Coturnix japonica: one gene and its partner. The protein of the gene in region 1 interacts with the protein of each later gene in a pairwise test. Links are inferred from orthologs where the notes say so. Each region holds a gene or a part of one and is shown in the gene's direction. Other genes may lie near its edges.

What was found. The genes of interacting proteins can lie anywhere in the genome.
Region 2: the proteins of TOPBP1 (region 1) and CIP2A interact in a two-hybrid assay, tested with the Homo sapiens proteins (2 studies listed by BioGRID). The link is inferred for Coturnix japonica from reciprocal best matches to the Homo sapiens genes TOPBP1 and CIP2A.

The regions. Positions count from the first base shown.
Region 1 is NC_029517.1:39,221,501-39,231,720, reverse strand, and holds part of TOPBP1 (DNA topoisomerase 2-binding protein 1), read left to right. Parts: intron 1-36; coding exon 37-329; intron 330-1,403; coding exon 1,404-1,577; intron 1,578-2,424; coding exon 2,425-2,534; intron 2,535-3,155; coding exon 3,156-3,279; intron 3,280-3,648; coding exon 3,649-3,798; intron 3,799-4,289; coding exon 4,290-4,398; intron 4,399-4,975; coding exon 4,976-5,168; intron 5,169-5,990; coding exon 5,991-6,214; intron 6,215-6,890; coding exon 6,891-7,054; intron 7,055-8,464; coding exon 8,465-8,579; intron 8,580-9,095; coding exon 9,096-9,259; intron 9,260-9,951; coding exon 9,952-10,092; intron 10,093-10,220. UniProt on the Homo sapiens protein: Scaffold protein that acts as a key protein-protein adapter in DNA replication and DNA repair. Composed of multiple BRCT domains, which specifically recognize and bind phosphorylated proteins, bringing proteins together into functional combinations.
Region 2 is NC_029516.1:78,515,187-78,525,406, reverse strand, and holds the start of CIP2A (protein CIP2A), read left to right. Parts: upstream 1-75; 5' UTR 76-181; coding exon 182-283; intron 284-2,292; coding exon 2,293-2,440; intron 2,441-3,501; coding exon 3,502-3,614; intron 3,615-4,962; coding exon 4,963-5,057; intron 5,058-5,453; coding exon 5,454-5,550; intron 5,551-6,235; coding exon 6,236-6,358; intron 6,359-6,506; coding exon 6,507-6,652; intron 6,653-7,234; coding exon 7,235-7,310; intron 7,311-8,158; coding exon 8,159-8,386; intron 8,387-8,851; coding exon 8,852-9,011; intron 9,012-10,013; coding exon 10,014-10,155; intron 10,156-10,220.

The DNA.
Region 1 (10,220 bases):
ATGGCTTGCTTATATTTTATTTGTTTCCTTTTTAAGATGAGAGTTCTGTTACTAAGCTTAGCAAGACATCACCAACTACCAAATTTCCTGATTCTCCAGAACGACCTTCTTATCTCCATGAAGCTGGGAAAAAACCAGCCGTCACCCCTCTTGATATCAACAGGTTTCAGAGCAAAGCTTTCCAAGCTGTAATCTCTCATCATATTGGGAAGACAACAACTCCTCCTGCACCAGGAGGACTGCTACAAAAAGAACCGTCTTTACACCTTGATACACCATCAAAATTTCTTTCCAAAGACAAGTTATTCAAGCCTTCTTTTGATGTAAAGGTAACGTTCTTTGCAAACTTTTGTGTTGATGGAGCTATTGAATTCAAAAATATGCATACACAAAAACATTGTCATGAGCCTCTTCACCCTGTTAACTACAGCCTATTTTGAATAAAGCAGAAAAACTGCCACTGTTAATTTGCATGTATTGCTAGTTAACAACCTGTGATTTAAATGTTTCGTAGTAGATGTTTTAGTTTTTAACAAAGCTCCTTTGTGCTTGTTGCATCTTATTTGAACTACACCTCACAGAACATAATCTGTTCTTTGCATTGAATGACAGAAATATAACCAGAAGGCTTGTTTACTCCTCCAGATATTAGGAAAAAAATGTTTACTTGTTCTGTGATGAAATGCTACTTTAATGACTTCTAAAACGTAACAATGGTATAGCAGTTAAAATTAGTACTGCAAATTGAGAAATGGATTATTATGGCTTTGGGTTCACTTTCTCATTCTGAAAGCCATGAAAAACTCTCAACCTGAAAAGTGGTAAAGAAACCACCAGGTCTGTCTGTGCTGGAATAGCTACTGAGCGAATTGAATGTGCTTGTGATGCCTTCTGATTTGCTTTTCATTATCAACGCCTTGATTAGGAGGTAAATTTACTGATTTTTTTCTATCAAGTTGTAGGGTTTTTGTGCTGGTGGATTATTATTTTTTCCCCCTTCTCTTCCATTCCTCCCCCTCTTCCCTTCCAAAGGAAGAGCACTCATTGGAAATGGCTTGCGATTAGAAATGCCTGGATTTGGCTGCTGGCTTCTTTCCATTGCAGGGAGTTCTCCCTGATGATAGTGAAAAAGAGGATTAGATCTTCTCTTTTCTTCTTCCTGTTTTATATACGTATACACTAAGAGTGGGATTCTCTTGTACAGTTTTTGTGCAGTGGTACTTTCATTTGTGCTTGCTAGTTGCTACTCTAGTACACAGTCTTGTTTTTTTGAGTATGAAACATTCCTACTATATTTGTGAAACTTGCTCAAGTGAGAATGTTGGTTGCAATGCCTTCATGAAAGTCAGTCGGTTACTTTGGTGGGTTTATTTTATTTTATTTTATTTTATTTTATTTTGTAGGATGCTCTGGCAGCTTTGGAAACTCCAGGAGGTCACGGTCAAAGGAACAGGAAGCTGAGCACGCCTCTTTCTGAAGTCATTGGCAGAAACCTGAAATTGGCACTGGCAAACAGCACTCGGAATACAGAAGCTCTTACTGCCAGCCCTCAGCTGAAGGCTGCACAGCCAGAAGCGGTAGGAGATCTTGGTTATGAGCTGTTGGAACATAGGTTGATTAAGAAAATGCTGTAACTTTTGTGAGTTAAGCTATAAAGGAGCTTGTGCATTGTGTAAAAATCTGTATGATTTTGCATCTTCAAAGATGAATAACGCAAGATAAGGCAGCAAGCAAAAATTTAACAGTCTTTCTCTCCTGTCTGTACTGCCATCCCAAATACTAAGGAGTTGCTAAGCAGCGTGGTTTATAGAGCTGTGACCATTCAGTTTTCATAGCATTAGGATGGGAGGGTTTTATAACAATTTAGAAACTCCTAGACTCTTGATGGGCAGGATTAAATATTTTATGTTTGACTTAAGTTAGAGTTCCAGCCTAATCTACTCTAATAAGAGAAAACAGAAAAAGAAGTGAGAGAAACGAGTGTGTGTGTACTGCTTCTCATGTTGTTGCACAATATACTATGAAGGAGGGGAAGAAACTAATGGCATTCAGTAAGGGAAGGTTGTTATTTCTTATTGTGTAGTTTCTGAACTCTTTCCCTTTTCACTCTGGTAGAGTGAAATGCTTTTGTGGTATCAGGTTTGATAATTCCTTCATTTTGGTGGTCAGGGAAGCGGTCAGTCTGTGATGAAAAAAGCACAATATGGCTCAGTGAATCTTTTGTCTTTGGATCCCTAGTGCTTGGAAGGACAGTTGCGCTCTCTTTTGATGTGGACATTGGACATATCAAAAGCAGAAAAAAAAAAGTTTTCCTTTTCCTGTTATTACAAATATGATCACATAATACACTAAATACTTAAATATTACTGTAAGTCATACAAAAGCTTTCTAAACATGATTTTTTTTCTTCACCTACTTGAATAGGAAGAAGAGTCCAAGCCTCTAGCTGGTGTTGTTATATGTGTTAGTAAAAAACTTAGTAAGAAGCAAAGTGAACTGAACGCTGTGGCAGCTTCTCTTGGTGCAGACTACAGGTATCAGACAAAAAAAAGAAAACTTTGAAGCTTCTGCCCTGATGGGAACTGAAATAAATATGAATGTTAGCATTTTAGTACCCTCATCTATGGGGACCTTCTGCTGTAGCTGAACTTCAGGTTTTACTGTCTTAAATGATTTATGTTTAAGTAGTGAATGTGACTATGTTTTGTGATTACAACCTATTCTTTTCAGCTTCTGTTACTGAGAGGAACTACAGACTATTTCCTTTAGATAACAAATGTTAATTTTTATTAGTTTATGTATTTTTATCAGAATACGTCAGTAAAAGAAAAACATATAATAAACTTGTCACACTTATTTTTAGGATCTGATTTGGAACTTCATTTACTTGGATAAAACAAAAAGTAACAGCAAATCAAAATCCCTAACTCTCCTTTACACCTTTGTCAGACTAAGTCTTGTTTACTTCAGGAATGCTTTTAAAGAGATTGAAAGCATTCTGTCCTGAAGCTGAAAGCTGTCTGTCTTTTGTTATGACTAAATAAATAATGAGCCCACTTTCTTCATCAGAGTGTAGGTATTATTTCTAGGATCAGCTGCTGATTCTTTTTGATAGATAATTATATCCTCAAGTTGTATTTCATTTTATTTTCTAGATGGTGTTTTGATGAAACAGTAACACACTTCATCTACAAGGGAGGACAAAATGACAGCAACAAGGAATATAGATCTGTTAAAGAACGAGGAATACATATTGTTTCAGAACACTGGCTTTTACAGGTATGAAGCTTGGTTTTTTTCTTCTCTTCATACTAGAGATGAACAGAAAAGAAAGCTTAAAACTCATTAGATAGCAGTTGATTTTCTGTTGGAATTTACATTGAACATAGGAATTGATGTTTTATATTCTGCTTTGAACGTAGGAGTTGAACAAATTTCACTAGCATGCATTTACCTTGTACTCTGTAAGGCAAAAAGAAATTCTCTTTCATTCAGCAGTTCTGCTACATGTTTCCCAGAATGAGAGCTGCACTTTTCTCTTGTGTAAACTACATCTTTCTGTGATCGTTTTCATATGCTTAGATATGGAACTTGTATTAATTTTCATCCAGTTTCTCATCTTTCTTATATTAACTAATATTGTTACAGTGTGCCCAAGAATATAAACAGCTTCCTGAATCTCTCTTTCCTCACACTTACAATCCCAAAATGAGCCTGGACATCAGTGCGGTGCAAGATTTCAGGCCCTCCTCTTCCAGTAAGCTTCCAGCAACTGGAAATCCAGCAGAAGAAAATGAGGTATAGTGTGTGATAGAAATTCATGTTCTATGACATCATGGGAATTCAGTTCACATGGCTGTTATGTTTAATGTAATAAGTGAAATTGTTTCTTTATTCAGTGATACTCTGAAGCAGATTTCACTAGTAATTAACAGTAGCTATTGCAGATACTCTTTCATGCTTTTCTTGCATTTGTAATCCTCTTCTAGGACAATAGAGGCAGACACAGACATTTCAGGATTAGAAGTGCTTTCCACATCTGAAATAGCATAGCCCATTCTTTACCTTCTTGTTTAAGTGAACAAGAGATCCAAGCTTTACTTAGTAGACCTATAGACTGCAGAGTAGGTGTTGTCATTAATGCTATTGTTCATTGTTTTACTGTCATTGTGGTGGCATAAAGATTAATTTATTCTAAAGCGAGATTATTCTTCATCAGAATTTTCACAAGCGTTGAACAAAGGTAAAAATAAACAAAGTGGTATTCTACGTGTCTTTGTCGGCTTTAGATTATTCCAGTGGATGAAGATGATGCTGCAGATGATTTAACTACTGACCAAGTGAAGGAAACAGTTGGCACAGGGGAGGAGCACGCTGGAACAAGTGAATCCAAGGGAGGTAAATATAAATTCCTGTTCTCAGAATAGTCACATAATGTCAAACTGCCTGTGTAAGTCTTCTACAGTTTCAGGTGCTGAATGTTAAGATGTGAAAGCTTTAGGTACTGTTATTTATTTACCAGTCAAATACAGCTAGTTGCTGTTGCTCAGTATGAGGGAGAGGTTTTGCTCTCTAGTTTAAAGATCTTGCCAGTCTATTACAAAACTAGGCTAATCCATTACAAATTACTTAGTTGCTATTTCTTTTTATTATTTTTAAACACCAAAGTTTGATTTCTAGCACAGAATATCAGTATTGTATACATTTTTGTGTTATGTAAAGAAGTGTGTTACAGGAGAGTTGTGGAATATAAGGTAGATCGTGTGTACAATTTCAGAAGTGATCCAAATGGGAATTCCTGCTTATGACAAGAAATGGGTGATTTCAGTCATACTTCATTCTCATAGATAGTCTTTCCCTGTTTGATTAGATAATCTTCCTCCCTGATACAGGGGAGGGAAATTAACTTTAATGGCTGTACTTTTCACCTATTATAGTAATCTTGATCTTGTGGACTTTGTTTATTCTCTTGAAGTTTTAACCCAGGCACTAGAAATGAGGGAGAGCTTCCAGAGGCAGCTGCAGGAGATCATGTCTGCGACATCAATAGTGAAACCACAAGGACAAAGAGGATCTCTTTCAAGGAACAGTTTTGATAGTTCTCCAGCCACTCCTGATAGTGCCCGGTCTGTGCGAAATGGCCGCAGCAGGGCCTTGGAAGCTCTAAGGTATCAGTTTTCAGTGTATCTTGTCTTACCCTCTCTACTCAGACAATCACTGAAACATGAGTAGATCTCCAGGGTTTTCAGTTGTATTGTCTTTCTGTTCTGATATACTTCATTTGCTTGTAATTCAGAATCTTTAACAAGACCTGCTAGATAAAATCAGAGTATAATCTTAATCCTACAGTTATGTATAAATGAGTATATTTGCTTTTCAAAAAATAGTAGAATAGAATTGTATTTTAAATTTGAAATGAATTGTGCTAACCAACTAATTTGTCTTCGGATTAGTTAGTGTTGTTAGAGATATTTGAAGAAAACAGTGCTGCAATATTTCAGTACCTTGGTCACATACAAATAGTAGTTGTTCCTATGAAGTTCTTGGTGAATATTTATCATTTCTTCATTTCTCTCTGTGTAATCATGGTGAATAGGATTTTAGTTCCAGCAGTGCTGAGTTGCTCCAGTGAGAATGTAATCAAAATCTTTCAAAGTCATTCCTTTAGTTGGGTGTTTGTCTTCAAATTAAAAGGTTCAGTAAAGGGTAGAGTGCACTGATTATGAAATAATTCATCAGCATGACAAGTGGTGAAAATATCTCCTACTTAATGTTATGGTTGCCTTTTTTCAGCCATGCTGACCCTTAAACCCACAAAGGCAGATTGCCAAAGTTGCTTTCATACTGAAGGCTTCCACTTTTCTGGACACGCTTTCTAATAACGTCACTTGGATGTTATGGTTGATGTGATTTTTAAAATGTTACCTTCTAGTATGGTAGTCTTCTGTAAAACAAAGGAGTATTTAAGGTATCTCTGCTTTTTCTCTCAGGCAATCTCGTCAGGCTCTCACAGATATCAACACGGAGCCATCCCAGAGTGAGCAGATCATCTGGGATGATCCTACAGCGAGGGAGGAGAGAGCGAGACTTGTTAGCAACTTTCAGTGGCCTAACAGTCCTTCCTTCACAGAGCAAGCTCAGAGTAATGTCAACAGGAACATGGATGAGTCTACCTTCAAAGGATCTATACCTGATGCAGAGATTGCTGGTATAGGTAAAATAAAGTCAGAAATGAAATACCATTTTTCTTACAACATCGGGTTTATCCTTGGAGATTTTAAAATACGGTGATGCTTAGATTTTACTTCAGACATACTTAAAGAGTGAACAGTGTTGGGATTTCATCTGTGGTCAAACACCAAAGCAGACAGGTCACGTAGATACAGTGGAATTCAAATTGGAATGCTAGTAGCAGAATTTTTTTAATGTTAGTAGGTAAAGAATGAAGGAGCAGGAAGAAGATACTTGTGAGCGCCAAAAATAGTATCTGAGAGCTACTTATGAATTTGTTTCCATTATGATTTAGTCAAAATACTATGTTCATCTTCCCTATTATTTATGAAGTCTTAATCTTCTGCTAGGAAGAAAATTAGCTAAATAAGTTCAGTTGATTTTGTTTGTTTTGTTTTGTTTAACTGCGTAAGTGCATTTAGCAAAAGAAATCAGGTCATTTGAGGTTTTTCTGCTTTTCAAAACAGGGCATCCAGGGAGATGGCCTGCAAGGTTCAGTCAGTGGTCTGTGGTATAAGGAAGAGCACCTTTTAAGAAGGGCAATATTGACATGTTAACTGTGCATGTTGTAGCAGCTATTTAGGATAACTACTTTTGTACTTTGTCCATAATTATATTTGTCTAAGGACAAATCCTGTAACAGTGTTTTACTTCCTCAGTTGTTCCTGAGGCTGGGGATGGAGATACGATTGAAGATTTGAAGAATCCTGTATGTAGAGATCCTGAAACACCCATTAAAGATCACTTGATCCCCACTCCGCAGGCTCCCAGCATTGCATTCCCACTGGCTAACCCTCCTGTGGCACCGCAGCCCAAAGAAAAGGTTTGACATTTGAAGAAATGCTCATGATTGTATGTGTTCTAAAAGTGTAGCTATACTTTAAGGGCTGCTCTGAAAGTAATGCCTCCTGTGTTATTGTGTTCGCCCATGAGAGGCAGATGTCAGTGGTATGGCAGTAGGGATTAAATGTTTTCAATAGTATTTCATTACATGTTGTTGCTGTGTGACAGATGGCAGCAGGGGGGCGGTCTGGCAAAACGGTGTCTGACATGCAAGTGCATCTGAAGAGAAAGTGGGGCATTAAATTCCTCCATGTGGAAAAAATGGCACCCATTGACATTCAGCACTGCTTACTGAATGTTTATGGAGACCAAACAGTGGATGTGAGCACAGTGAGTTAGTGGATGGTGCATTTCAGCAGTGGCAACAGCATCCACGTGAAATGAGCTGAGAAGAGCCCTATGGAGAAGGAGTTGGGGATCCTGGTGGATGAAAAGCTGTACGTGAGCTAGCAGTGTGTGCTTGCAGCCTGGGATACCATCTGTATCCTGGTGGCCAGAAGGACGAGGGAGATGATTGTTCCTCTCTGCCCTTCTGAGGCCCCGTCTGGAGTATTTCGTATAGACCTGGGGCCCCCTGCACAGAAAAGACATGGAAGTGTCAGAGCAGGTCCTAAGGAGGCCATGAAGGCGATCAGAGGTCTGAAGCACCTCTCTTATGAAGATAGGCTGAAGTAGCTGGTCTTGTTTAGCCTGGAGAAGAGAAGGCTCCAGGGAGACCTCCTTGCAGCCTTCTACTACTTTATGGGTGCTTATAAGCAGGAGGGGGAACTCAAGCCACGTTAGGATGATAGAAAAAAAGTTATACCTGTATTTTGCAGATGGTGTTTGGAATTTAGGCTTAAATACCAACTGAATATTTTTGTTCTGGACAAAAATCTGGTTCAGAAATTTAACATATAGTGAACTTGAAAGCAACTAGGAAGATGAGTTTAGGTTTTTGCCTTCATTGTCTCATTTGATGTTCCAACTTCCAGCACCGACTGTGTCTCTTCAGAGGGCTGCAGTGTCATGTTACTGAATAAGCTGTGGTGGAAATATATAGTGGGCCTTGGGAGTTAAAGAAAGCCTGAATGGATGAGGTAGTGTGATAGAGGGATGATGGTTATTTCATGTGTTCAGCTTGGCATTCAGTGAATATGGATTAGTTTTTATGACAGATTTGTTCACTTCTGCCCTAAAAAAAGGGGGGAACCGAGAGGATGTTAAGCAGGAATTTAATGCTGATTTGATAAGATCCAGCTTTTGTCAAGTGATTGACAGATTTGGTTCTTCTTTTCCATGCTAAAAGAAAACTTAACATAAAAATAACCCAGAATTGCTCACAGGGAAATAATCAGCTGTCAAACTAATCTTTCTGTAATATTTCCAAAATCTGTTGCTGTATTTTCAGGCTGCTACAGAAAATGAGAAGGTAGATGAAGAACCAGAAAAATGCCGTAAATTTCAGCTGTCTTCTCTTAATCCTCAAGAAAGATTTGACTACTGCCATCTGATTGAGGAATTAGGTACCAGATATTTGTGAAATGCATGGCATAGTGTGTGTTATAAGCTGGTCAGCTGTAGCTCTCTGGGAAAAGAAAGGGCTTCTGTTAATGAATTGTCAGATTGGAGCTCTCAGATTTATGGTTTTCTGTGCTTGCAAGCAATTCCTTGAATATATTATTATTATGTGAGTGATCAGCTTTGCTATAAAACAGCAATGGTTTTGTATTCTGGCAGTTTCTTTTAGCTGTCTCCACAACAGCCCCATTCTTTACTGTCAGGAGTGTCTAGGGTCTGCTGTCTTCTGGTGTCTCCCATTCATGTCTCTGTTATACTACCACTTGTTTTCTTTTCCCAGAGCTCCTCTTTCCTTGCCAGCTTCTCCCTTATCAATTAAAAAATATTTTCAGTGTAAATCTGAGATTTTCTTTTTTTTTCTTTGTTTTAAATTCAAATAATTCTCACTTTGTGTGATTTCTTTTTTGTGGTACAGCCTGAACTCTAAATAACTTGAATCATATTAAATCCTCAATTCCAAGGTGGAATAGTGCTTGAGAAACAGTGCTTTGATCCAAGTTGCACACACATTGTTGTGGGACATCCTCTTCGAAATGAGAAATTCCTGGCCTCGATGGCAGCTGGAAAGTGGGTGCTTCATCGTTCCTACCTGGAGGCGTGTAGAGGAGCTGGCTGCTTTGTTCAGGCATGTAACCTCGTTACTGAGGAACTAGAATGTTGCGCTTTTTTTTAATGTCTCTTTTTATTTTACTGGAAAACAACTTCTCAAAAGCAACCTTGGGGTTTTTAGGGTATCTCAGGAACTTTTGGCAAGCTCGTCTCTGAAAACAGGTTCCTGACCAAACTTGTCCTAGCACAGGACAAATGAAATACCTGTACTTCATTGGTGTTTCTGGAAATTGAAGCTTGAATATCTCTTGTTAATTTTTCACTAGTTATTCATCTTGAGGTCACAGATCTCGTACGCCAGGAATTAACTCTTAATTTTTCTATACATCAGCAAAGCTTTAAAGATTCCAACCCCATAAACCTGTGCGTTTTGAGCACCCTCTTCAAAAATGTCCGAAGTGGCTTTGCAGTACTGTTGAATTCCACTGCTGATAACCACAAGAATAGCTTGATTGTATATGATGTGCATTACTGTTACAGAAAACAGGAGTTGATTTAAAACTGTGGAGAGTTTTTATGCATGGGCATAATTACATGCATTTAAGAGACATATCTCTAACTTTATCAAGAGCTGTTTTGCTCAGATAAAATAGATGCATAAATCTAGACTGATTTGTGATTTGTTCTGGATGTGTTTTTTTAGTACTAATCTTTCTGCTAATAAAATTGACAAGACTTCTCTGTAATTCATGCCTATGATTATTCTAGGAAGAAGATTATGAGTGGGGAAGTGATTCCATACTTAACGTTTTGCCTGGAATCAATGTAAACCAGAAGAAGCTAGCGCTCGCAGCCATGAGGTGGAGGAAAAAAATTCATAAAGGAAGGCAAGAAACTGGAATTACTGAGGTACTGAGATGTGTGTTGGATATAATGTGTACAGTGTGGATGGCCAAGATGGGATTTGTCACTGAGAAACCCAGAAATTTCTCTGTCAGGAAAAGTGAATTTGTCTTACTAAGAACAAAATGGCTTAG
Region 2 (10,220 bases), on another chromosome or scaffold:
GATATACAAGTAGTATTTCACTATGGCCACTCCCATTCCGTGCCCCCGGAAGGAAGATGGCTCCCGTCGTGCCCCGCGGGTAGGCGGGCATTCCCGTTCAGTGTCGTCAAAATGGCGGCGGCGGCGGGAAGTACGAACGGGATATGCTGCTCGAGCCTCTGAGGAAGCGTTTCTGGGCGTCATGGATGCTTCAGGTTGCATGAAATCCCTGCTCCTGGCAGCCACGCAGTACCGGGCTGCTAAGACGCCGTCCAACGTGGCTCTGGTCCAGCGTAACCTGGAGGTGAGAACGGAGCGGCTTGGTCGGAGAGACGGGTTGAGCGCGTTGTTCGTTCTCTCGTGTGTCGGTGTGTGAGCGGCTCCTCTCGGCGCTCCTCAGTGCCCGGCCGCGGCTGGCTCCGCTCCGTGGCGGTCGGTCTGTGCTCTGGAATTGCTTTGGGTTCGGCCGGCTCAGCCTCTCGGCCGCGGCCTTCCCCTCGGCTCAGCGGGTGGAGACTGATAAACCGCCTGTTGGGGTCCTCTCCTGCGGGGCGGAGGAGGGAGAAACAGCTTAGATCTTTCCTGAACTCTAACAACCCTCCACTAAATCAGTTCCCTGAACACCACATCCAAATAGTTTTTAAACACATTCAGAGGTGCTGACTCAACCACCTCCCTGGGGAGCCCATTCCAGTGCTTAACTACCCTTTCTGTAAAGAAGTTTTTCCTGATATCCAGCCTGAACTTACCCTTGCAGAACTTGAGGCTATTTCCCCTTGTCCTGTCACCAGTGAGAAGAGACCCACCCTACTCTCACTGCAATCATCTTTCATGTATTTGAAGAGAGCAATAAGGTTTCTCCTCAGCCTCCTTTTCCCCAGACTAAGCAATCCCAGTTCCTTCAGTTGCTCCTTGTATGGCACATTCTCCAAGCTCTTCACAAGCTTTGTTGCCCTTCTTTGGACCTGCTACAGCACCTCAATGTCACTTCTGTATTGAGGTACCCAAAACTAAACACAGTATTCAGGGTGGGACCTCACTAAAGCCGAGCACAAGGGCAGGATGACTTCCCTAGTCCTGCTCACCACACCATTCCTGATACAAGCCAGGATGCTACTGGCCTTCTTGGCCACCTGGGCACACTGCTGGCTCATATTCAGCTGACTGTCCATCCGTATGTCAAGGTCCCTTCCTTCCAGGCAGCTTTCCAGCCACTCCCCCCCAAGCCTGCAGGGTTGCCTGGGGTTGCTGTGACCAAAATGCAGGATCTGACACTTGGCCCTACTGAAACTCTTATGGTTTACCTTGACCCACTGATTCAGTCTATCCAGGTCCCTCTGTAGTGCCTTTCTACACTCCAGCAGATCAACACTCCCTCCTAACTTGGTGTAATCTGCATTCTTACTGAGGGCGCATTCAATCTCCTCATCAAGATCACTAATAAAGATGTTAAATAGAAGTGGCTGCAGTACTGAGGCACTGGGGACACCACTTGTGACCAACAGCCAGCTGGATTTAACTCCATTGACCACAACTGTCTGGGCCTGGCCATCCAGCCAGTGTTTCACCTAGCAGAGCGAACACCCATCCAAACTCTGGCAGCCAGCTTCTCCATGAGGATGTTGTGGGGGACAGTGTCAAAGGCTTTACTGAAGTCCAGGAAGACCACGTCAACAGCCTTACCCTCATCCACTAAGCGGGTCACCTTTTCATAGAATGAAATCAGGTTTAACAAGCAGGATCTACCATTTGTAATCTTTTCCAGCCTCAGTGATTCTGTGATTAACTTCATCTATTGTAGAAAAGTACAGGGAGGATATGGGGGAAAAAAAATTACATTGTTCTATCATGCATATATAACAAAAGTCCAGTTATGTTGCTGTGCAAGTCTGTCACTTTTACTATCCCCTTAAATGGGCTTTCCTTTAACTCAAGGTTCCATTTTTCATTGTAATTGTAGAATTCTCACTAAACAGCACAATCTGTTACCACTGATCTTCAAGCAGAATGAAACCTTTGTATTTCAGTCCAGTTCTTCAGAAAACAGGTTATTGAATCAAACTGAGTACCACAGGTATGTACCAGAGATGCATACAGAGGAGTAGGACCTAGTTTGTTTTTTGTTTATTTTTTATGTTTAAATTTACACAATACAAACCTGAGCGTCGTACTAGATTGACAGTTATGTTCTCATTCTGTCAGATTTGGCAAAAATCTATGTAATATCACTTTGTACTATTAAATACGCTTTGTATAATGAATACTCAGTAGCAGTTAAGTAATTGAGGTTTTTTTTTCTCCTTTTATCTCCAGGTTATCTCAGGACTGAAGCTTACAAGATTATTTGCTTCCAACCAGATTCTCCCAAGTGAATGTCTTAATTGCCTGGTAGAACTCCTTGAGGATGCGAATATAGATCCTTCTCTGACATTGTCTTTGGTGACTTTACTATCACAGCTGGGTAAGGTTTGCACTATAACATTAATCTTGGATCTGAGAAAGAGAAGACAGATGTTGATTCTGTGGCATGTGTGATGAACTTCTTGGAAAAACCAGAAGTATGAAAAATGTATAGCTTTTGAAGTGCTTGCCTGGCCCACCAGACAATGCATACAAGATCAGATAAGGTGTTAAACCACTGTTCAAAACAGATTTGAAGTCATTATTGTGAAACGACAGTGTTTTGTATTTATTAGAATTGCTCTAGACCCATGTGCTTCAAATCTCCCAGGTTGAAAATAGATTCTAGAGCTTTTCATTTGTTTGTTGGGGTTGATTTTCTTTCATAGAAGTGTGACTTCTTCATTTATCTATGGAGCTCTGTGCTCACCATAACTGCATATGTAAGTTATGTGTACGTGGAAAAAATTCTCTTATCTCTCAGCTTAGGCTTTCTTGGTAGATGTGGGTGGTTCTTTGAGATTCAAGTTGCTTAGGATGACTTGTTGTTTATCTTCTCTTTTTTAAATTTTTGAAATGATTACTGTAAAATAATACGTTGTTGGGGTTCGTAATCCAACCTTTTGGATTTGGAGAACTTTAAGAATCAGTTATCCTCCAATTGTTCTATTGTTTTATCTTTCTTCCTTGTTTGCTGTGTCTTTTCCATGACTGTTTAAGCAGAACAGGTTTTTTTTTGTATTACTATTGCTAGATAACCTTATCAAGCAATCAGTTTTAGTCTGCTTGCCTATCTTAGCATGCAGAAGGAAACTAAGTTCATTGATTTCGAGCTTTAAAGCTTCTCAAGATTTCAAATTAAGTTGAAACTTTGTAGTTGAAACTTTGTCATTGTCCAAACATCTCAAGGAAAAGTCTTAGTGTTTCAACAGACTGTGAGCTCAGAATTGAGGTGGAGATTCAAGTGTGTAGGAGCTGTGATTTATAATAGTGAAGTATATGTGGAAAACTGATGAAAGGCTTTAGGTTATGCTTAGATCAGTCACTAATACAATAATTAGTTTTGCTGTTGCAGAGGATTGTGGGTTGGTGGTTTATTCTTCAATAATTCTTAAATTCTAGCTTCAGACAATGAGACAAGAGAAGCTCTTCGGGACACCTACAGTCTGACCAATGTGCTGGCAGGAGTGGTTCATCGAAGTTCTACTAATCTTAGTGATCCAGTCTTATTACAGGTAACAGGAACTAATGCTTAATAGTTGAAACAAGCTGGTTGTTTTATTTACTGTGTGAATCTAGCATGACAGGATTTTAGCACTGCAGAGTTCTGTGTATTCTGTCTGTAATATTGCTTGTACTTCTTACCTCTTCTAATTCATTTAGAGAAAAAAGAGAAATATTTTTAAACTAGAAGCTTCTACTGTGTGAAACTACCAGTTGAGGGCTTGGAAGCTTATTTTTCATTCTGTTTTTCATTGTATTTATTTTCAGTGAATATGCAACATCTCCCAGTCCAATTTCACCAACTTGCACCTATAATTTCTGTGCGCTCAGCAACAAAGTTGGACTTTCTTTTTTCCTCATACGTGGCTTTGTGTTCTCAGTATGTGTTTGCTGGCCATTTGTGGTCACATCTCTTTTCTTTGTAAGGCAAACAAAATATCGGTGGGAAGATGAGTCAAGCATCCAGTGCAGTATAGAATATTTTTCTGATGTTTAGCATACTTCTCAAAGTATTAGAAGTTCCAGAAGCTTTAAGAATCCCATTTGACTTGTCAGTCAAGGGGGAAGACTTTCTAGCCACCAAGTAAATCCATTTATAAGCCCCTTAAGCTCTTATGTCAGCTATTCTACACAGTGAGATTTCAGCTGCTATCCTTAGCTATGCTGTGGTTTTTATCATGTCTGAATATACTTGTGTCACATTTAAATAAGTTATATGACAAAAGAATGCTGAATGAAAGACAGTACTATCACAGTATCACAGTCTGGTGTGAGTTGGAAGGGACCTTAGAGATCATCAAGTCCAACCCCCGGGATTTGAGCCTCCTGTGTAGCAGTGTGACACTTCTACCACTTGCGCCACAGGGGGGATTCGAACCCGGGCCTCTGGTGTTGCAAGTGGCATTCCTATCACAACGCCAACGCAGATCATTAAATCTGTTGTCAGTCCTTATGGTACAACACACCTGTTTTACTATAAACGTACTTCCTGCTAGAGACTATAGAATACTTTGGATTTTGGTGAAACTTCTAGGTCTTTCACTGGCGGAATGGACAATTGACTGATGAGGAAAAAGGGGAGAATTGGATGGGCTAAAGTTGACTCTCTGCCAAAATAAAACCTTGCTAATATGTTTGGTCTTTTACTAAGTACGTGGAGATCAGTGTGGTAGGATGTTACTCAATGTGCTTACAGCAGCTTGCCTAATTGTGATGTTAACATCACAACTGGAAAATGAATCAATTTGTCGTGCTTTATCTCTCTATTCAGCTTCAGCTGCAAGAAAATACCTTATGTACTTAACATTCTTCAGTGAGATGCTGTAGGAAAGGCATGTGAATAGCTTTTTATTTCCTCAGAGTATTCAGTTGCTGCAGAGGCTGACCTACAACGTTCCAGTCTTTTGCGCTGGTGCCAACATCGATGAGCTGATTTCATTTCTAATGCATCACGTGTAAGTTTGTGTTCACTTATCTTTGCTCATGGGAAATACCTGGCTAGGTTTCTAACCTTTCTGAAGCCCATGAGCCTATTGCACTAACGTGGTCTGCAGAGGGTGCTGTGATATTTTTGCTCTGAAGTTACCAGAGATGTTTCTGAAAAACATGTTGTTAAAGGTTATTAATGTGGTGGCTGTGCTACTGTAGGTGTCTGAATATTAATAGGCTTCTTAGCCCACCCCCAGGGAGGGGAGCTAACAAAGACAAATGCCAGGAAAAAAAATCATCCCTGTCACTGTAAGCATGTTTTCTCTAGAATAATACAAATTGTGCACAAGTCTAATGACTATTAAAGGCATCTGCTATAAATGAAAACATCTTTGTTTAAACCTCTGGTTTTCTCTATTAAGTCAATCTACAGAAGATGAGCTAACAATACCGTGTTTAGGACTTCTGGCAAATCTCTGTCGTCACAACTTACCTATTCAAACTCAGATAAAATCTTTGGTAAGTGTTTTGTTTCTCTCTGACGTAGGGGTAAGAGTGAGTTACTTACTTGAGCTTTTTTTTTGCAGCAGCAGTAATAATCCTGTCCTTGTTGTACAGTGTTTTGTCAAACGATAGTGGATATTTCTCTCATGTTAAGGAAAAAAATCAGCAGAACTGAAAGCTGTGTGTTTTCTCTTGTTGCTGTGTTGTTGCACAGGCTTGTATTATGCATTCAGTTACTGCTGCTGTTCTCTACAAGTGAAAGGTGAACCTGAAGTTTGAATATCTGTTCCTTAGAAGAATTAAACGTTGTAGTATATATATATATTTTTCCAAGCTGCAGTAACTTTGGCCTGTAAAGAGATTTGCTTCTTCAAAAGATAAATCCATAAAATACCACTGATCTTGATGTCAGGTCAGGACCTTTGAATCTTCGAGTACACATCCATATCTGATCTACACAGTCTGTCTGTTCATCCATCAGTGCAAACAGCTTATTTCCTCAGTGGAGGAATATAAATTCATCTGCATGATGGCAAATGTTGTACTACTTACCTTGGAAGAATTGCAGAGGAAAAAAAGGAATTGTGTTATTATTATTCATTATTTGTATCTCTTGTTTATACATATTTGCAATATGTAAGTTTGGTGCTCTTACAGAACAAAATAAAATTTGTAATACCTGTGCTTCTCTGCATTTTAGAATAACGTGAAGAGTTTCTATCGTGCCTTAATAAGTTTCCTGGCTCACAGCAGTTTGACTATGGTTGTATTTGCACTTTCAATATTATCAAGCCTTACTTTAAATGAAGAAGTAGGAGAAAAAGTAAGTGATATTTTGAAATCACTTTTATTTTCAAGTTGTCAATAAATCTATTGACCACACTCACAAAATAATTGTAGCTAATTTTAATGTGCAAGAGACCTGAGCAAGCAAAACACGTTTGCATGTGTAATTTTATTTTTCCTTTCAGCTCTTTCATGCACGGAATATCCATCAGACTTTTCAGTTAATATTCAATATTGTTGTAAATGGAGATGGTACTCTAACAAGAAAATATTCTGTTGATCTACTTATGGATCTCCTGAAAAACCCCAAAGTTGCAGATTATCTTACCAGGTACGGCTTCATTAAAATTCACAGCTGCTTCTTGAGTGTTACTACATGATTAACTGCTGTATCTGAAGCTAAAGGATTCTTGTGTTACCTGTTTTACACAGAACCATACATCAAAACCTGTTCTGTAATTGCTGCTTAAGAAATGCTTAATGATTGTGTTCAGTAATTCTCAGTATTGGTGGTCAGACAATCTGATGAAATAGCTATCATGGTATTTTTTTGTAGTCCTGCAGTATTTTGAAGTGCAGTAGTGTTGTCAAAGTTATAATAACTTTCCTGCAGGTCACCACGGAGTTATGCAAAATGCTTGTCTACTGGTTCTGCACATTCAACTAATAGAACTTAGTTGCTAAACTTCAGTCCAGATCTCTAGCAGTAAAAATACTTGTTCTAATTCTGAAAATATTTTTAAAATTTACCTCATATGGCACTGAAATTACACCATCAGAAGTATTACTCTATTTGAAGCGTTGGGGGGTAAAAAGGAAACTGGACACAGGTATTCATTACTTGAATGCTGTTAGAGATTGATACCAAATTCTAAACTATTTTTTTCCATCTTTCCTTCCATGTGTGCTGTAGATATGAGCACTTCACCTCATGCCTTGGTCAGGTATTAGATCTCCTTCATGGAAAGGATCCAGATTCATCATCTAAGGTACTTCTTCATCAGAAGAGCAAGAGGATGCAACTCATAATATAGTTCCACATCTGTAGCCATAAGTAGATGCCTTGTGTGTGAGGGCTGATAATGAAGTAAACTGATATAAAGACTCTTTATTGACCATACAGTGTTTATCAGCTTAGGTCTAATTTTTCAAAAGACAATATGTTTGAATTTTTGCTTGGTGTTTGTTTCCTGGTAGTTCTAAAAACTTAGAAATACATTCTTCCACAGTATTTGAACAATTTGATGCCACGTTGGGTTAAGCAGTTCACTGCTGCATTCAACTTTGTCTCACTGCCACCCTACGTAATTGAAATATCAGCTACGTGGTGCTAAATGCTAAAATAGGACTTGCCCGGAAAATGTTTCAAAGATCTATGTTGACTAAACAATCTTAAACTTTTCTAATGAAAGCATTTTGCTTCATGGTAAATGATGAAAGCTAATGTTTCCATGTGTGTGGTTTTTTTTGTTGTTGTTGTTGTCTGTTGGTTATAATTTAGAAATGAGTTGACACAGAGCTTGGAGCTTTCGAGGGGTCTTTCATCTTCATCTCATGGCTATCTTTCCGTATCTCAGAATAGCATTTCTGCAGCTGATAGGTTATTAGAGAGCAGTTGGTCCTTTTTCTTTTTTATTTTTGATCAGTGGCCTAATGGACTGTGTTTCTGCTGCTGACTTGACTTTAAAGAAAGAAAAATATCCTTCACAGAATTTTAAAATGTCAAGAGCAATTGTTTATAACTTAGATATCCCTTTAGATTTGTGCTATGGAGTTGCAATTTCTGTATGAGTAATTGGTTTAAAAGTATTTGAACTCTTTCATTCACTTCATACAGATCTTAGAACTGCTGCTTGCCTTCTGTTCTGTGGTAGAACTGCGTCATACCCTGCGACAGGCAATACTGGAACCATCTGTCTTGCCAGTCTCTGGAAATACCAGATTTGTGACTCGCTCAAAGACTTTTGAACCATCTGTTTCATTGGTGCATTTGTCAAACCAACCATTGGAAGGCTCTGAAGACTGTTCAGTTCTAGCACTGCAGCTATTCAAAGAGGTTTTTGAGGTACGAATGCTAATGATTGAGTTTAAAGTACTTCTGAGGTGCTGTATTTTTGCTTTGATTGATTTTTAAACTTTTATTAGTGTTTTACCTGAAAAGTAGGATGTAAAAAATATACCAGAAACATTTTTAAAATTCCATAATTTGTCAAACATCTGTTTTTAAACACATTAAAAATGTATTTTGAAGACTGTATTATAAATATATCTTTTTTCTGAAAATTATGTTGGCCGTTCGTGAAGCAGACACAAAACTATTTAATACTTGTTTTCAAGGACTTATAGAAGTGTGTTTCTGCTTTTTCAGTGTTATTTGTTATACTTGCTTCTCCAGTATGTTACTGATCATATGTCTTAAACCTGAATTGCCCTGGGAAAGCTTGAATACAAGCTGAATGCAAGAAGTAGAGTAGGCTTGTCTTCCTTATTCTGTAGTTCTAAATATTGACATAAAATTTGTTTATTACAGGATGTCATTAGTAGCGGGAACAGTGCCTCAGCTGAACACTTTGTGGATCTTTTGCTGCCTGTTCTTCTTGATCATCTTCAGATGCCAGAACAGACTGTGGAAGAGCTGTTAGTGAAGAAAAAGTGTGAAAGAATGGTCAAGGCAATTAACATCCTCACAGATATCCTTTTTTTATGTGCCTATTGTCAGTTAATTTATTACTTCTCCACTATGATCTGTTCTAAGGCATTAGAAGAAACATCCATCTCAGCTCACTCTAACAGCTGTTAATGGCAATAACTGTACTGATCTTACTTAGGACTGTCATATTGAAGGACCTTTAGTAGCTTTATAATTGCTGTGAATTTATTCTGTGGTTCAGGGATTCCAAATAAGGTGTGCTTGTTCAACAGAATAGAAGCACTTTACAGATGAAAAACATAAGTGTTTTCTACAAGAGGCATTTGGGTGGCCTTCTTAATTGGTGTAATATTTTGGTCTAGCTAAGTCCATTGCAGTGTCCAGCCAAATATGGTGACGGTTTTGATCAGTGGAGCAAGAGGAAAAATAATGTGAAGTTGTTCCATTTTATACTCCCTGTTTCTTTCATTAGAATGTAAGAGCAGTTTTCCTTTTTCACTTTAACCTCCTGTCTGTGACAGGATTTGCACCACATTTGGTGTGGTGTTTGGTGAATAAGCAAATGCATCATGTCAACTTCTAGCATCCAGCTATGAATTTCTTGAGAAACATGCCACCTTCTGCTTCTGTGTTGCTTTTTTGAATTTGGTGTCATGAAATAAGAAGAACATAACTGCGGGATGTAGTCTGGCATCTCAGCTGAATTCTGTGAAGAAGTCTCTTGATTGGCTCTCCCTTAAAGCTAGTCCTTTCTTTAGGTACTGATTGTTCAATCCCTCTTGTTCACATTCCTTATGCAGTTCATATTATTGTAGTTTCCTTGGCTGTCTGTTTCCAAGTGCATACTTGATTTAGCTCAACAGAGCAGTTGAACACTTGGCTTGTGTGTTAAGCATGACTAAGTGGTTTATGCAGTTGGGCTTCAAAAGCATTTTTGGAGTATATCATGTTTTGGTATGCTAGCTTCTCTTTTATTATTAAAATAATGCCTTACGGTGCCAATACCTAGCATAGATCAAGTTTTATTCTTAACTCAGCCTACTGCTTTGTAGAGATGATGTACTGAAAATGCACACCTCAAAGCTACTGACTGCCAACAAATGTGTGTCTCTAATTGAACACCAGTTTACCTATAGTGGGATCGATGCTGGTTTTGGGACAAAGGTAGTGGACTCTAAAATGTGGTGAGCACAAAGATTTATCTAAAATTTAATTTACTTAGACTTGTGTGAGAGTTGCTATATTGTTC